Linked DNA regions of Neurospora crassa OR74A. Each later gene encodes a partner of the first gene's protein in a complex. Links are inferred from orthologs where the notes say so. Each region holds a gene or a part of one and is shown in the gene's direction. Other genes may lie near its edges. The genes, in order: NCU16013, qcr8 and qcr7.

Region 1 (5,101 bases):
AATGAAGTAAAGATATAGCATCTTTAAGTACAAGTATTGTAACAAATTATGCTTTATTTATTTTAGTTGGATTTATTTTATATGTATTTACATTTATTAGTTTGTTAGAAGGAGGTTTGGATTTGAATTTATCTTTATTCATTTTATTACTTTCTTTAACATCTTCTACATCTTCTTCTGATTCAAAGGAAGGAAAAATGATCAAGAAAGCTGTAGTTAGCACCAAAAATAAAAATATACGATAATGACAAACTCAACTATACAATTACAAGAACTATATTCCAGCCCGGCTACGGTGGTCGTAGGTGGCTTAATAGTGGGTGGCCTGGGCCTAGTAGGCTACCTAGGTTGGGAACTCTATGAGTGAGTTAAACCCCAAATCAAAATCCCACCAGCATTGGTGCCTGTGTTGGTGGATTTAGTCCCTACTGCTCCTTCCCCTCCTCCCCCACCTTTCCCTTCTTCTCTCCCTGATAAAGATAATGTTTATCCAGATTTAATTAGTCTGATAGTCGTTTTTGTATTGGATGCCTTGACAGGATGGGCTTCCGAGGTGGAGACTGTTTCGGCAAATTTAAATATCAGAGATCCCCTTACTAATAGCATCATTCCCGTGGATGATGATGTGCTTAATCACGCCAGGCGTCTTTTACGTGGTGCTTATGATACACGGTCTTGGGCTTAACTGATCTTACCGATTCTCAGACCTTTTTTACCTCCAGCTGTTAATTTCCTACTAAATGGGGCCTATAGGACTTTTTTATATTCGACACAATACTTGGCGGATCTTGTGGATATACAAGGTGGGTTGTATTATACTACTTCCACCCTGGCATCTTTTCGCAACCCCCTCCTTTGCTCCGCAAAGGAGGGGGGGAGGTTAAGAATCTAAGTAAGCTTTTTTATAATATGAGAAAGATGACTATTGAAATGAACTATTTCGTGGTACATCTGGGTGGGCAGGGGGGTTATATTATAAATCGTAACAGAGTTTAATTGTAAATCGGGGGACCCCACAACCCGATTTAAGTTCGTAGGTTTATCCACAAGCTTCCTAATCCCCCCTTCCCCCCTGCAGTACTGCAGGGGGGGGGGGGCGAAAAAGTAAAAATTATAAAATATTTAGAGAGGGAGTGGCGTTTAAACCACGTCCACTCCCTCACTCTTAATAAAAAATAATAATAATACCTGCCAGCATAGATATTATTGAAAAAATATTAGTTCCACCGGTTAATTCATAGTTAATGGTGTAGTCATTTCGTGTGCTATTAGTAAATAATGAAGAAAGAATTTTGAATGTTTTTATTTGCTTCATTAATAACTCCTATTATAAGAGTATTTATTATATGTATTGAAATGAGTATTGAATTACGCAGTAGACTGCGTAGGTTAAGTAGAATCCTCCGAGATGAATTCCGTAACGGCTTTAGTTATTTAGATACTGTTCGAGGCCGGGGGACCCGGGGTGAAATCCCCCCGAAAGGGAGGATTTCTTAAGACAATTCGACAAACCTCCTGACCTCTAACACATCGACGGAAATGAATAAAAAAGGATTGCATTGTAGTACAATAGTTTTTGTTTTTATTTGCTTATTATTAATCCCTATTTTAGGGAAATCGAGTACTTAAATATCCTATATTCCAGGACTCCTGCCTCCTGCCTCCTGCCTTCGGCAGGAGGCAGGAGGCTCGTCCTAGTCTAGTCTATAAAATTACTAATATTAAATATATTAATATATTATAAAGAGTTTTAATAATAATAATAATAAGGTGTAGAAGAAGTTTGGTTTAATGATCTTTATTCTTTATATTTTTTTTTTATTTCTTTCATTTTTTTTATTAATTTATTTACCATGAGATTATTAAAAAGTCATCCTTTATTAAAATTAGTTAACTCATATCTTATTGACGCTTCACAACCTAGTAACATAAGTTATTTATGAAACTTCGGTTCTTTATTAGCATGTTGTTTAATTATACAAATTGTAACTGGTGTAACATTGGCAATGCACTATAGTCCTAACGTATTAGAAGCTTTTAACTCTATAGAACATATTATGCGTGATGTGAATAATGGATGATTAGTACGTTACTTACACAGTAACACAGCTTCAGCTTTCTTCTTCTTAGTTTATTTACATATAGGAAGAGGAATGTATTATGGATCTTATAGAGCTCCTAGAACATTAGTTTGAGCTATCGGAACAGTAATCCTTATACTTATGATGGCTACTGCCTTCCTGGGTTATCAACATAGCCCAAAATGGTTTGATATAAGTAATAAAGGTAGTATAAGTAATAAAGGTAATATCACAAATTCGTTGCCCCCCCTCCTCCAGAGGTGGGGGGGAAGAATAAACAAGAGATTGTTTAACAAAAATCTAGTAAAAAGAGGTTATTGTACAAGTAGTTCTTTAAATAGTCCTGAAATGTCTGAAAGATTACAAACGATTATTAATGAATTAGGTATAAACCCTGTATATGTTTATGAAGATTTAAATCAACCTTCCAGTTGAAAACAAATATTACATGATACAAGAGATTTAAGCGGTGTATATATGATAATTAATAAAACAACAAAAGATTATTATATAGGTTCTGCATCCAATAATAGATTTTATACTAGATTCTGTAATCATGTTATTCATTTTACAGGTAGCAAAATAGTTAAATTAGCAATTAAAAAGTATGAATTGAAAAATTTTGCTTTTGTTATATTAGATTTATATCCTAATGTTGTTACCAAAGAAAATAACAAGGAATTATTGGATTTAGAAGATAAATATTTAAAACTATTAGTGCCTAATTATAATATTTTAACCGAAGCAGGTTCTAGTTTTGGTTACAAACATACTGAAATAGATCGTCAAAAGATGAAAGATCTTTATAGTGACGCTAGACGAGAAAAGATAGGTAGTCTAAATAGGGGTAAAAAGTTTTCTCCTGAAACAATAGAAAAAATAAGAGAAAAGGCTTTAACTAGACCTCCTATGTCAGAAGAAACTAAAATAAAATGTATTGCTAATACAAGACCTGTTGTGTTATATAACTTGAATAGAACTATTTACGGTAAGTACTCTACTATTTTAGAAGCAGCTAATGCTATTAACTGTAATGAAAAAACCATTAGAAGAGCACTGCAGACAGAAAAAAAATTAGTTAAAAGACAGTGAATAGTAGAAGATTTTTCTGACAAATAGGTTTTATTCCTTATTATACTTTATTCTTTATTATACTTTATTCTTATATAAACCATAGTCCCATGAGTATAAATCTTTTTGCAATTTTTATAGAAAAAAAAAGATTAAAGTGGTACATCCCGACAGGGATGTAAAATAGTTTTAGTACTATTTGGCGATGTTAGTGAAAACGGTTAAAATCCCTCTACTTATGCTGGGACAAGACCGTCGGTTATATAAATAATCGCTACAGACTGGGTCACTAATGGGTGGCTGAAATGCTGCTTAATGTACAGTCGGAACTTTTAATTAAACAAAGGTATTTAATTAATGGAATACACGAATTAAAAGTTATTCCAGCTTATTATTGATATAATAAGTAAGTACGTATGTTTTACCTTATGGACAGATGAGTTTATGAGGTGCTACTGTTATTACCAATTTAATAAGTGCAATTCCATGAATTGGACAAGATATTGTTGAGTCAAAAATTATTACTTTAATTATTAATTTATCTTTTATTGCTATTTTATTTTCAATTGTAGTTGTGTATTATTATATCTTACTACATGTTAATTTTTCATCTAACCTTCCTACGATAGGTGTTATTCATCAAAACGCTTTAAAGAAATCAAATAAGGCTTTAAGATTAGATAAACAAGAATATATATCCATTCCTTCATCATTTTTAGCTTTTTTAGCTGGATTGGTTGATGGTGATGGGTATATTCAAGTAACTAAAACATCTAAAGGTTTCATAGCAATTAAGTTAGTTATATCTCTTCATTTAGAAGATCTTTCTATTTTAGAATATATTCATTCTGTTTTAAAAATAGGTAAGATAAATATTTATAAGGATTTAAGAAGTCCAACTTGTAAATTAGTAATTAATAAAACGGATCTACAAGAAATATTGTTCCCATTGCTTATGTATAATAAGATTTTTTTCTTAACTAATACTAGAGCAGATCAATTTAACTTAGCTATGTATATATTCAAAAATGATATTAAGATGTATAATCAAATTCCCGATAACACACCTGCTGTTTTTGAGATACCTAAAAATCCTATTGATTACACATTATTGCCTTTTTTTAAAAATTGAATAGTCGGATTTACATGTTCTGAGGGTTCATTTTTTATTAAAAGTAATAATGATGGTTGTTTTCAATTAAAACAGAGAATACATACTAATTTATTTGAAGCCTTTAAACTAATGTTTAATACTAATAGAAAAATAGATACAACAAATAATTTTAATCAATTTGGTGTTAGTTCTAAATCTGATATACAAAAAGTTATAAATTTCTTTTCATTTTCAGGTTTACATCCTTTAGTAGGGTTGAAATATATTCAATATATAAAATGGTTAAATAATTTACGAGAAAGTTTGCGTTATAGTACCTTAAATTATCCTGATGCAAAATAATGCAAGATAGATTGCAAAAGATATAAATTAATAAATGTAATGGGGCTCCTTAAAATAGGTAGGGTTTAATCTTATTATATTTTAGAGGCAAATGGGGAAAATTACAAGGACATTTAATAAATTACCTCCGTTTTATTAGATTATTTGTAGCGAAACTTAATTCGGTATATAAAAAATGGATTAAGAACGTTCAACGACTAATGAGTGAGTTATACCAACAATAAGCTCAACACGATACCCCCAAAATCCACTCTATGAGTGGGTTTAAGATATAGTCTAAATATACCCTTAAGGGTGTAAAGTATAAGTTAAATATTATACGTAATATATTGTCATTTGAGGAGGTTTTAGTGTAAACAATGCTACTTTAAATAGATTCTTTGCTTTACATTTTGTTTTACCATTTATTTTAGCAGCATTAGTATTAATGCATCTGATTGCACTTCATGATACAGCAGGGTCAAGTAACCCTTTAGGTGTTTCAGGTAATTAC
Region 2 (3,741 bases), on another chromosome or scaffold:
CGTTTACGCCCTGCCAACGTTCATCAACAGATTTGTCCCCTTGCCACCTCCGGGCAGGTACGCCACGTTGGGGTTGGCAGCCAACACCTGGGCAATCTCCCTCGACGCCTCAATCTTTCTGATCTGGATCAAACCATCGCCAGCCTTGGCAATAGACTTGCTGATGGTCTCTGCACTCTCCGCTTCACCCTCGGCGCGGATGACGTTGGCCTGGCGCTCCTGCTCGGCACGCTCGACGATGAAGCGCGCACGCTCGGCATCCTGCTGCGCAATCTGCTTCTGCTCGACGGCCTTGGTGAACTCCTTGCCAAAGGTCATGTGGGTGATGGAAACATCCTCGAGCGCAATGTTGAACTCGGCGGCGCGCTTGACGAGGTCGGCGCGGATGCGCTGCGAGACGGCCTCACGCTGCGTGATGAGCTCGGCGGCGTCGAACTGGGCGACGATGGACTTGAGTACTTCGTTGCCGATGGAGGGGAGGACACGCTCGTCGTAGTCTGGGCCGAGGTTCTGTGGGGATTCCAGTCAGTTCAAGTTCGTTGTGATCCGTCGTAGCCGTCATAAGGGGCAAGTTCTTGTAAACGCACCTGGTAAATCTTGGGCAGAGCCTGCACCTCAGGACGGTGCAGCACTCTGAGCGTCAAGCTGACCATCTGCAAATCCTTGGAGCCGGTGGTGGTAGGGATGATGCGAGGCTTGGTGCGAACATCGAAGATGATGGCCTTCTGCAGCCATGGGATGAGGAAGTGTGTGCCCTCGTTGACGACCGTGTCCTTCACACCGGCAACTCTGTCGAAAATAACCGCCCGCGAACCACCTCTGACGTCGTAGATGGAGTTCTGGAGAAGAGCCACACCAACAGTTGCCGGGATGGCGAACTTGGTGATCATGTCCAACCCTCTTGCCGCCATTGTGAATATCGGTTTGAATCAAGATTAAGGGATCGAACTCGGTTGATGTGGTGGTGAGGGATCTGACTCGAGAGTATTCGTGGACGTCGTTTCCGGGGATACCTCAAGGTGGGCTGTGGGATTATCACACTACAAACACTACGGCGTGGACCGTGGCGTGGATCGTGGTGGTGGTGGTGGTGCTTCCCCAGTTGCAGCAGTAAGCAGCAGTCGTTGCGATGGATGGAGCTTCTGCAAAAAGTGGAGTGCCATGTCCCGTCGCCCGGACCAGGCCCAGCTCTCTCAAGCTCCCCGCATGGCCCGGGGATGTCTTTCAGTGCTTGCGTATGGTGATTCAATACCTATCCTAATGGTCCGTGCACCTTGTTTTGTTCAACAGACGGGCAGGTCGGAAGGAGGCTGAAAGAGAATGATGCTGTAAAGGTACTTGTAGCTTGTACCTTTCCATGCTAATCCCTTTTGAGCCTCCAGCACTCGGGTTTCTGACGGGACTGCCAGTGACGGCTCCATGGCACTTGGCAAATGAAGTGCCAGCCACTCACTGTCGACCGATTTCAGTTCGAACTTCGTCAAACCCGGTTCAACGCCGCGCGAAGCTCTTCCCGAACCTTTACGACGACTGCGTCCTCACCACGACCCGATTGATACCCCCCATAGCGCGTTTCGCGACAACACATATTTCAAGATGCGTCCTACTCAGACCATGCTCGGTGGCGGCGGCGGTGCCCCCATCGGCAAGCACAACCAGTCAGTCTTCCCACTTGTGATTTGGAAGAGCCCGGAACTTCATGGCACAAGCTACCGGCGATGCGCCCTTTTCCCTTTGCGCCGGCTCCCCCTCCGATCCAGCTCTGGATGTTAGCTAACGTGCATGTTGATATAGCTACCTTGGTGGCTGGGGTAACTTTGGTGAGTAGGAACCTTTGCAATTGACGATGCACCGATACCAAACATACGGCAATTCTTCAACAACGGGAAATACCGGGATGGGAGGGAATGCGAATATGAGGGCACGACAGATGGTCGAGCCAGAAGACGAAGAACCTTGATGACCGCCCGCCCACTCGCCCGCACGCCGAACCCTTGACGAACCGATGAGACGACCCCCGAGACAGAACAAGACCATCTAACCCATGTTGTTTTTCTTCCCGACGAACAGGTGGCATGAAGCAGAGGGGCATCATCTCCTACGGTATCAGCCCTAACCGCCAGAACCCCCTCGCCGGCACTGCCCACGACGCCGTTTTCAACACCTTCAGACGTGTCAGCTCCCAGTTCCTCTACTGGGCCCCCTCCCTTGTTGCCGGCTACTACATCATGAACTGGGCTATCGAGCGGTACGTTGCATCACCACCACCCACAGCCCCGAGGGATTTCGATCACGGGGTGGCAAAGGAGGGACCGTTGTTGTCGTCGTTCAAGAGAGTGCCACATTCTAACAGGGCATTCTGCTGGTTAGGAACCACTACCTCAACTCGAAGGCCGGTCGTGCTGAGTTCGCTGGCCAGGAGGAGTAAGCGATGGACTTTACGATACTTGGGCACGGAACCAGAGTGCAGTTCCCGAGAGAGAGAACTAGTACTCAATAGACTAACCTGTATATCACCATCTTTATTCCCACGCGGTTCGAATTGGAGTTGGCATAGACAAGACATGGACCTCTCTTATGGGTATCGGCATGTGCTGGTTTTGGATCTCATACGACACCTGAAACACCACCACCAAGTCGTTTCTTGTTTACATTCGGCTCGACAGATCGCATGTGATTTCCAGCCTTGTCACGATCCTAATCTATCCACGCATCATCCGGACATTCCCTTGGTTAGCTCCAGTTCTCTTGTCTTTGGGTACAATCATTGTGCATCTTGCCGGTCCGCAGGCCAGTCTTTTCGGCGCTTGGTGCTCGTTGGCTGCACTAGATCTTGCGAGGAGAACCATGAGGTAGCGAGCCGGTTCCTTTCATGGAGTTTGATTTTCTTTCTCGCCTCTGGAAGCATGTCAGACGCTGGAAGGCTGAAAACTGTAGCGGCGCCCGGCCTTATGACGTATCACCACGCCTGTGAAGCCGAACGTCCTAGTTCATATACCGTTCCTCTCCCGGGACAAGCTAACCAGCCCTGCTCAGCATTCTCACCTCCATGAATAGGACTGTGAATACTTCACCTTCAAACTCATCATCGTAGATGCCGATACCTATCCAAGGTAAACAATGACGGGAGGTAGGTATGTTCGAAGCCATTTTATATTCAAATTCAAAACTAAACAATGGCACTGCACTAAGCCCCAACTTCCAGACCGCATTTCCAGGGCAACATTCCAAAGTAGGCATAAGTACATGTTAGTTCTCAACTACTATTGGTATGGTGCCTAGTCATGTCATTAGCTGCAGTGCATTTTCCAGAAACGCTCGTGGAAGAAAGAGCAGATCGGTGAAGAAATCCGGCCATACATCCATCAGCCCAACCAACGCAACATTCAGGGGTAATGAATGAAAAGAAACCAAACAAATGCAGGAACGGGTGGCCCAAAAGCGCAAAACGAACCCCCCCCCCCCCCCCCTCCCCCCCCCCCTTTTTCTTTTTTTTTTCCTACAACCTCGGTTGGTATATTCTATGATTTAATGATAGTCTTTTTTTCCTTTCGCTTGAGTTGCATTGGGCTGTCAGGGTCTCGCCATTTGTTCGCTTTTGCAAAGAGATCATAGAAGTATTTTTATGACGGGGTTGATTACATGGAGCATGGGTTATGTGTTGAAGAGATGGAAAAGACGAACATGTGAAATTGTGTTCCGTGTTATTAATTTTGCACAGACCATTCCAAGCTATATAAC
Region 3 (4,444 bases), on another chromosome or scaffold:
CCATTATTATAGGACCCAAGCCCCTATACATGCCGCGAATGCCCTCATGCCTCCATATTACCTTGGCCGTGCCTACCAGGCCATTGTACATCCTGGGCTGGCCCACATGCTGTCCCGCGCCCTGCGCTTGCAACTTGGTCTTGATAACGTCCAGCGGGCAGGTGACCACGCCGGACATGAAGCCTCCCACTGCGCCGGCGAGCGCATTGAACTGCGAGTCCGAAGCATTCATTGCCCATCTTTCCAGGCCCGTTATCCGGTTGGGGTCCTCTTGCATTGGGTCGGCCGAGGCTGAGTCTATTATCTCCTCTGTTATGTCTTGCCCTGCTGCTGCTGTCTCCTCCAGCTCTTCGGTCACCGAGTTGGCGGGCGCAAAAGTGGCGGGTGGCCGGGCGCCTGGCAAGGAGCGCACGCCATATTCTGCTGCCGAACTCGCGGGATCTGGTCCAGAGTGGGAGATGTGGTGTTGGGTGTCTATAGTAGACATGCCGCTACCCTTCTCTCGACTCGAGTCGGAACTGGGACTGGGCAATCGAGACGCGGGGATCGAGACGAGATGGTGCGTCTTTGTTCGAGGGGTCTCTGCTGGTCGCAACTCAGAGACCCCGGAGTAATCGGTGACCCGTGATGCCGCCGTAGTGTCGGAAAGAGGGTGGTGATCTCGGCTTGTTGGAGCTTTGGAGTCTTGAGAGGGTGGTGTTGATCAGGAAGCTGACGTTCCCGGCTTGAACGGCGTACTAGCGCGGGTGCGGGGAAGAAAGAGGTTCGCTTGGGGGGGACTGAGTCGAAGACCGAGGTGTTGATAACAGGAGTTCACCAAATATCACCGTTCGTCCGTGAGGCTCGGGGCAGCCGGGTTTTTGCGTAGGAGAGAAAGAGGCCCTGGCGCGGATCGTATTTTGGGAACTTGTTGGATTTTTCGCAATTGGTGAGCGAGCACACGAGCAGGCTCGCTACCGTACCTGTCTTTGGTAGAGGAGCTAGTATGCAGGTGAGTGGAATGAAGGAAAGGATGGGCGAATGTGGGGGAAGTCCCGTTTTCCAAAGACAGGGTTTCTTGGCAAAGAGATGGACGATAGTACAAAGTGCAGTGGAAAGAAGCTACACGACTCTTTTCGACCAAGAGGTACAACAGGAACCTTTTTGTGTGCGAATGCCAGACGGAGGCCGAGGACGGATGGTGATGTTGGTGTGTAGATAGGTTGGTTCTTGTTAAGGAAACTACGTAGTTATCTACAGAAACGAACAGCCAACGCCAATGACGGCGGGACGCGGATGCCAATTATGGTTACCAATTATGTCACCTTACTGCAGTGATTGTCCATACCTACCTACCTGCCCGTGACTCCCGTAGGCAGTGAGTGGATGAACAGCAATTCCGGATGCGCTGGGAGCTGCCTCGAATTTCCTTCCCCTCCGAGTCATGAAGACACCAGAAGCAAGTGTTGGTCTAGGGGCCAGAAAGTAGGTGTCCAGATAATCATGTGTTTGTCCAGGTCTCTCAAGTCTCGGGAGTTTTAGACTTCAGACCAAAGACCCCCAGTATGGCCCGTTTTTAACCTTCCCCCAGACAAGAGATGATAGCTATCAGTCGAGATTCCGTTTCACTGCAGCGAAACAGCGCCAGCGGTCACCACCGTCGCCCGCCAAAAAAGCGGCTGCCCTGGTCGTCGTCTCCAATTCTAGACCCACCGCGGCCCATAACATCGACCTCATCTCTGCCTTGGCATTTGGACCGACAGCTCCATGGTAACCCAAACCCTTGCCAAGAAAACAAATTCCCTATTCTCGTAGAGCCTGAGCTTTGAGGCATCAGCCACTTGGACACGGCTTTTCCCGGAGCGACGGGAGACGGGAGACAGTCTAAGAAAAACGCACGGAGCACCCGGAGCTTCTTTCTGAGTGTTCTAGTTGGACAGTGCGCTTCTACTACTGGCTGAAATGGCTGGCTGACTTTCGCGGGTTTGCTGATTTGCGGGTCGCGGCAATTTGTTAGCTCTCTCCGCCCTCCATCTTGAATCTTGACCTTGGTGTTTCCCAAGTGCGTAGAGACCAGACGACAAGAGAGTGTAGACTCCTCACCACCTCGCCTACCTATCACCGACTATCAACCGCCACCCCGGTCGACAATCATCCATCAATCACCATGTCTGCCCCTTCTCTCGTCCAGGCCGTCGCTAAGCGTGGCTGGTTGAACAAGATGCTCAAGCCCGTCTCCAACTGGTACATCAATGCCGCCGGCTACCGTCAGATGGGTCTCCGGTGAGTTTTTGTTGTTTCTTTTATATACCTCGATGGCCAGCAGTCCGGCCCGGGACCCTTGTGACGTAGGCTCTACCTGTATCGAAACCATCGCCCTTCTATGTGTTACGTCTATCCATCTGTCTCTCCTCGGCCCGGTTCTACCTCAATGGCTCGCGCCCCAGCCGCAGTTCCCTCCCTCCCTTCCACATCCCCGAGCAGGAGGACCAACACCCACCCACCCACCCACCTACCTATCTAACTACCTACCACTCACTATACCATATACAACCGACCAACAACCCATAAACTAACCCACCCTTCCTCCCCAAAAACAGCGCCGACGACCTCATCTCCGAGGAGAACGAGACCGTCCTCGCCGCCCTCCAGCGCCTTAGCCCCAAGGAGTCGTACGACCGCATCTACCGCATCCGCCGCGCCACCCAGCTCTCCCTCACCCACAAGCTCCTGCCCAAGAACGAGTGGACCACCCAGGAGGAGGACGTCCCCTACCTCCGCCCCCTGATCGACCAGATCGAGGCCGAGGCCGCCGAGAAGGACGCTCTCGACACCCTGGCTGTCGTCAAGAACTAAGCGCGGGACTTATAAAGGTATGAAAGGGGAAGGAAGGAAGGATGGGAAAGGATGGGAGGGAAGGTTTTTCCGTTATCCGCGCGCGGTGGGAACTGGACTGGCCGACTTTTTTTTTCGACGGGAACGAAGGAACCGAAGAGAAGGGAAAGGCTGGAGTACTGCTACGCTACGCTTAGGATTTGGAAGCCGAGGATACCAAAGCAATAAAGTGGATGCGCTCAAAATAAGAACCGAAACAAAAACTCGTCCCCTCGATTCTCTGGAACCTGGAACTCTTCGACAACTTGCTGCCAATTGCTTTCTGGAGAAATAGGATGAAGGGGGGGAAAAGGTGGATGGGGGAAGATGGACAGTTTGCGATGCAACGACAATGGGCAACAGCCAAATGTTCTTGTCTATGGTTGTGTTCACGCTCCCAGAACCCGCGCATCTCTATGAAGTGGAAGTGGAAGGGGAAAATGCTTTGAGAGGAGATGGTGACGACTGCGAAAGAAAAGACTACCTAACCATTTCTACTTATTAGAAGGAAAGAAAATGGGCAATAGACCTTTATCCTGCATTCTTCCCCCCCCCCCAAAACAACAAGACAACTGAAAGAGAGAAAGAAAAGAAAGGGGAGGGAAGGAAGTGTCTCAGACATGGTAGCCATCGAAATCGACCTCTGCTATGCTGTACGTTGAAGAAGTGTATGTGAGAGTCATGACAAGTTAGATCAAAAAGTAATAAGAAAAAAAAAAAAAAACTCCGCTCAATTCGCAAATACTCTCATTGTCTCTGTGTCCCAAAGAGCCTAGAACTAAGTAGTAGCAGAGGTACGCAACCATGGGAAGAAGTGAGACAATAACCTACGGGAGTGATGGCGGCCATACTGTAGCTGCCTGTCATATCAGATGGCTGCCTACTTTTTAGAGAGCCCTTGTCCAAAGATACCGCCGAAGAAACATTCCTCTTCTCCGAGACTAGGAAATTTATGGCCCAAACCTGCTCTATTTCAGGTGGCTGACGAGGACCCGAGTTTGTGCCGCTCACAACCTTGGTGGCAGTTAGCACCACTCAAAAGTTGTGATCTTGTTCATCGTGTGTACTCAGAAAAAAAAAAAAAAAAAAAAAAAAAAAAAAAAAAAAAAAAAAAAAAAAGGAGTATCACACATGTTTGGGATCAGGCAGCGTTGAAGACTCCAGTATTTTTTTCTTTCGTTTCTGGACGTTGAAGGCACAATTGTGTAAGCCCGCATAATCATGCTGAGGATACACACAGACTTCTTTCTTCTCTCGGTTCCAATGGGCATCATACCAAAATGGCGGCGGGCATATTGTGTTGCGAAAACTGAAAGTGACAACTTAGTTCTCCTTTCGGTGGGTGATATGTGTGATATCTGATGTGTACCAGTCCACCCGACAACAGAGCAGACAGTGTACATACTCTCATTACTACGTTAACTAAAGCTGACCACGTCGAAGCTGAAAAAGAGAAAAAAGAGTAAGCTATCCTACAACAGAAGAAAGAAAAATAGAAAGAAAGAAAACACTACCCGCACACCTAGAGGTAAACAAAACCCCCCTTTTTCTATCATGAAGCAATGACTGTCTGCCTGTAAACAAAAAGGTA

The links.
Region 2: the proteins of NCU16013 (region 1) and qcr8 are in contact, whole or in part, in a crystal structure (PDB 4PD4), measured with the Saccharomyces cerevisiae proteins. The link is inferred for Neurospora crassa OR74A from reciprocal best matches to the Saccharomyces cerevisiae genes COB and QCR8. Residues at the interface, in NP_009315.1 of Saccharomyces cerevisiae: Ser15, Asp19, Ser20, Pro21, Pro109, His202, Ile203, His204, Gly205, Asn215, Leu216, Arg218, Ile219, Pro220, Val320, Lys323, Phe324, Phe327, Ile328, Phe331, Asn332, Leu335, Gln338, Cys342, Glu345, Val346, Pro347, Tyr348, Met351, Ile354; in NP_012369.1 of Saccharomyces cerevisiae: Thr8, Tyr9, Met10, Gly11, Trp12, Trp13, Met16, Gly17, Gly18, Pro19, Gln21, Gln55, Tyr58, Val59, Ile61, Pro62, Ala63, Ile65, Tyr66, Trp69, Trp70, Gly73, Asn74, Tyr76, Asn77, Leu80, Tyr81, Asn93.
Region 3: the proteins of NCU16013 (region 1) and qcr7 are in contact, whole or in part, in a cryo-EM structure (PDB 6T15), measured with the Saccharomyces cerevisiae proteins. The link is inferred for Neurospora crassa OR74A from reciprocal best matches to the Saccharomyces cerevisiae genes COB and QCR7. Residues at the interface, in NP_009315.1 of Saccharomyces cerevisiae: Ser24, Ser25, Asn27, Arg107, Ser108, Pro109, Asn208, Pro209, Leu210, Ile212, Thr213, Gly214, Asn215, Leu216, Asp217, Asp309, Arg310, Ser311, Val312, Val313, Arg314, Phe318, Val320, Thr372, Glu374, Asn375, Val376, Leu377, Phe378, Tyr379; in NP_010818.1 of Saccharomyces cerevisiae: Pro2, Gln3, Phe5, Ile8, Ala9, Ile11, Gly12, Asp13, Ile15, Leu16, Cys25, Val26, Val28, Ala29, Asn30, Phe32, Ile33, Leu35, Ala36, Gly37, Tyr38, Leu41, Leu43, Phe45, Asp46, Asp47, Leu48, Ile49, Ala50, Glu51.

Annotation. Positions count from the first base shown.
Region 1 is NC_026614.1:32,044-37,144, forward strand, and holds the start of NCU16013 (cytochrome b), read left to right. Parts: upstream 1-1,853; coding exon 1,854-2,249; coding exon of another isoform or gene 2,250-3,200; intron 3,201-3,567; coding exon of another isoform or gene 3,568-3,570; coding exon 3,571-3,664; coding exon of another isoform or gene 3,665-4,608; intron 4,609-4,940; coding exon 4,941-5,101. Other genes in the region: NCU16012 (NADH dehydrogenase subunit 5), read left to right, coding at 1-245; NCU16015 (laglidadg endonuclease), read left to right, coding at 1,854-2,246, 3,568-4,608; NCU16014 (group I intron endonuclease), read left to right, coding at 1,854-3,200. UniProt on the Saccharomyces cerevisiae protein: Component of the ubiquinol-cytochrome c oxidoreductase, a multisubunit transmembrane complex that is part of the mitochondrial electron transport chain which drives oxidative phosphorylation.
Region 2 is NC_026505.1:5,788,006-5,791,746, forward strand, and holds qcr8 (ubiquinol-cytochrome-c reductase chain VIII), read left to right. Parts: upstream 1-1,496; 5' UTR 1,497-1,596; coding exon 1,597-1,658; intron 1,659-1,794; coding exon 1,795-1,820; intron 1,821-2,070; coding exon 2,071-2,248; intron 2,249-2,370; coding exon 2,371-2,428; 3' UTR 2,429-2,735; downstream 2,736-3,741. Other genes in the region: NCU08946 (hypothetical protein), read right to left, coding at 4-510, 588-911. UniProt on the Saccharomyces cerevisiae protein: Component of the ubiquinol-cytochrome c oxidoreductase, a multisubunit transmembrane complex that is part of the mitochondrial electron transport chain which drives oxidative phosphorylation.
Region 3 is NC_026505.1:5,770,613-5,775,056, reverse strand, and holds qcr7 (ubiquinol-cytochrome c reductase complex protein), read left to right. Parts: upstream 1-1,881; 5' UTR 1,882-2,146; coding exon 2,147-2,262; intron 2,263-2,579; coding exon 2,580-2,835; 3' UTR 2,836-3,603; downstream 3,604-4,444. Other genes in the region: NCU08941 (calcium-binding mitochondrial carrier protein Aralar2), read right to left, coding at 1-487. UniProt on the Saccharomyces cerevisiae protein: Component of the ubiquinol-cytochrome c oxidoreductase, a multisubunit transmembrane complex that is part of the mitochondrial electron transport chain which drives oxidative phosphorylation.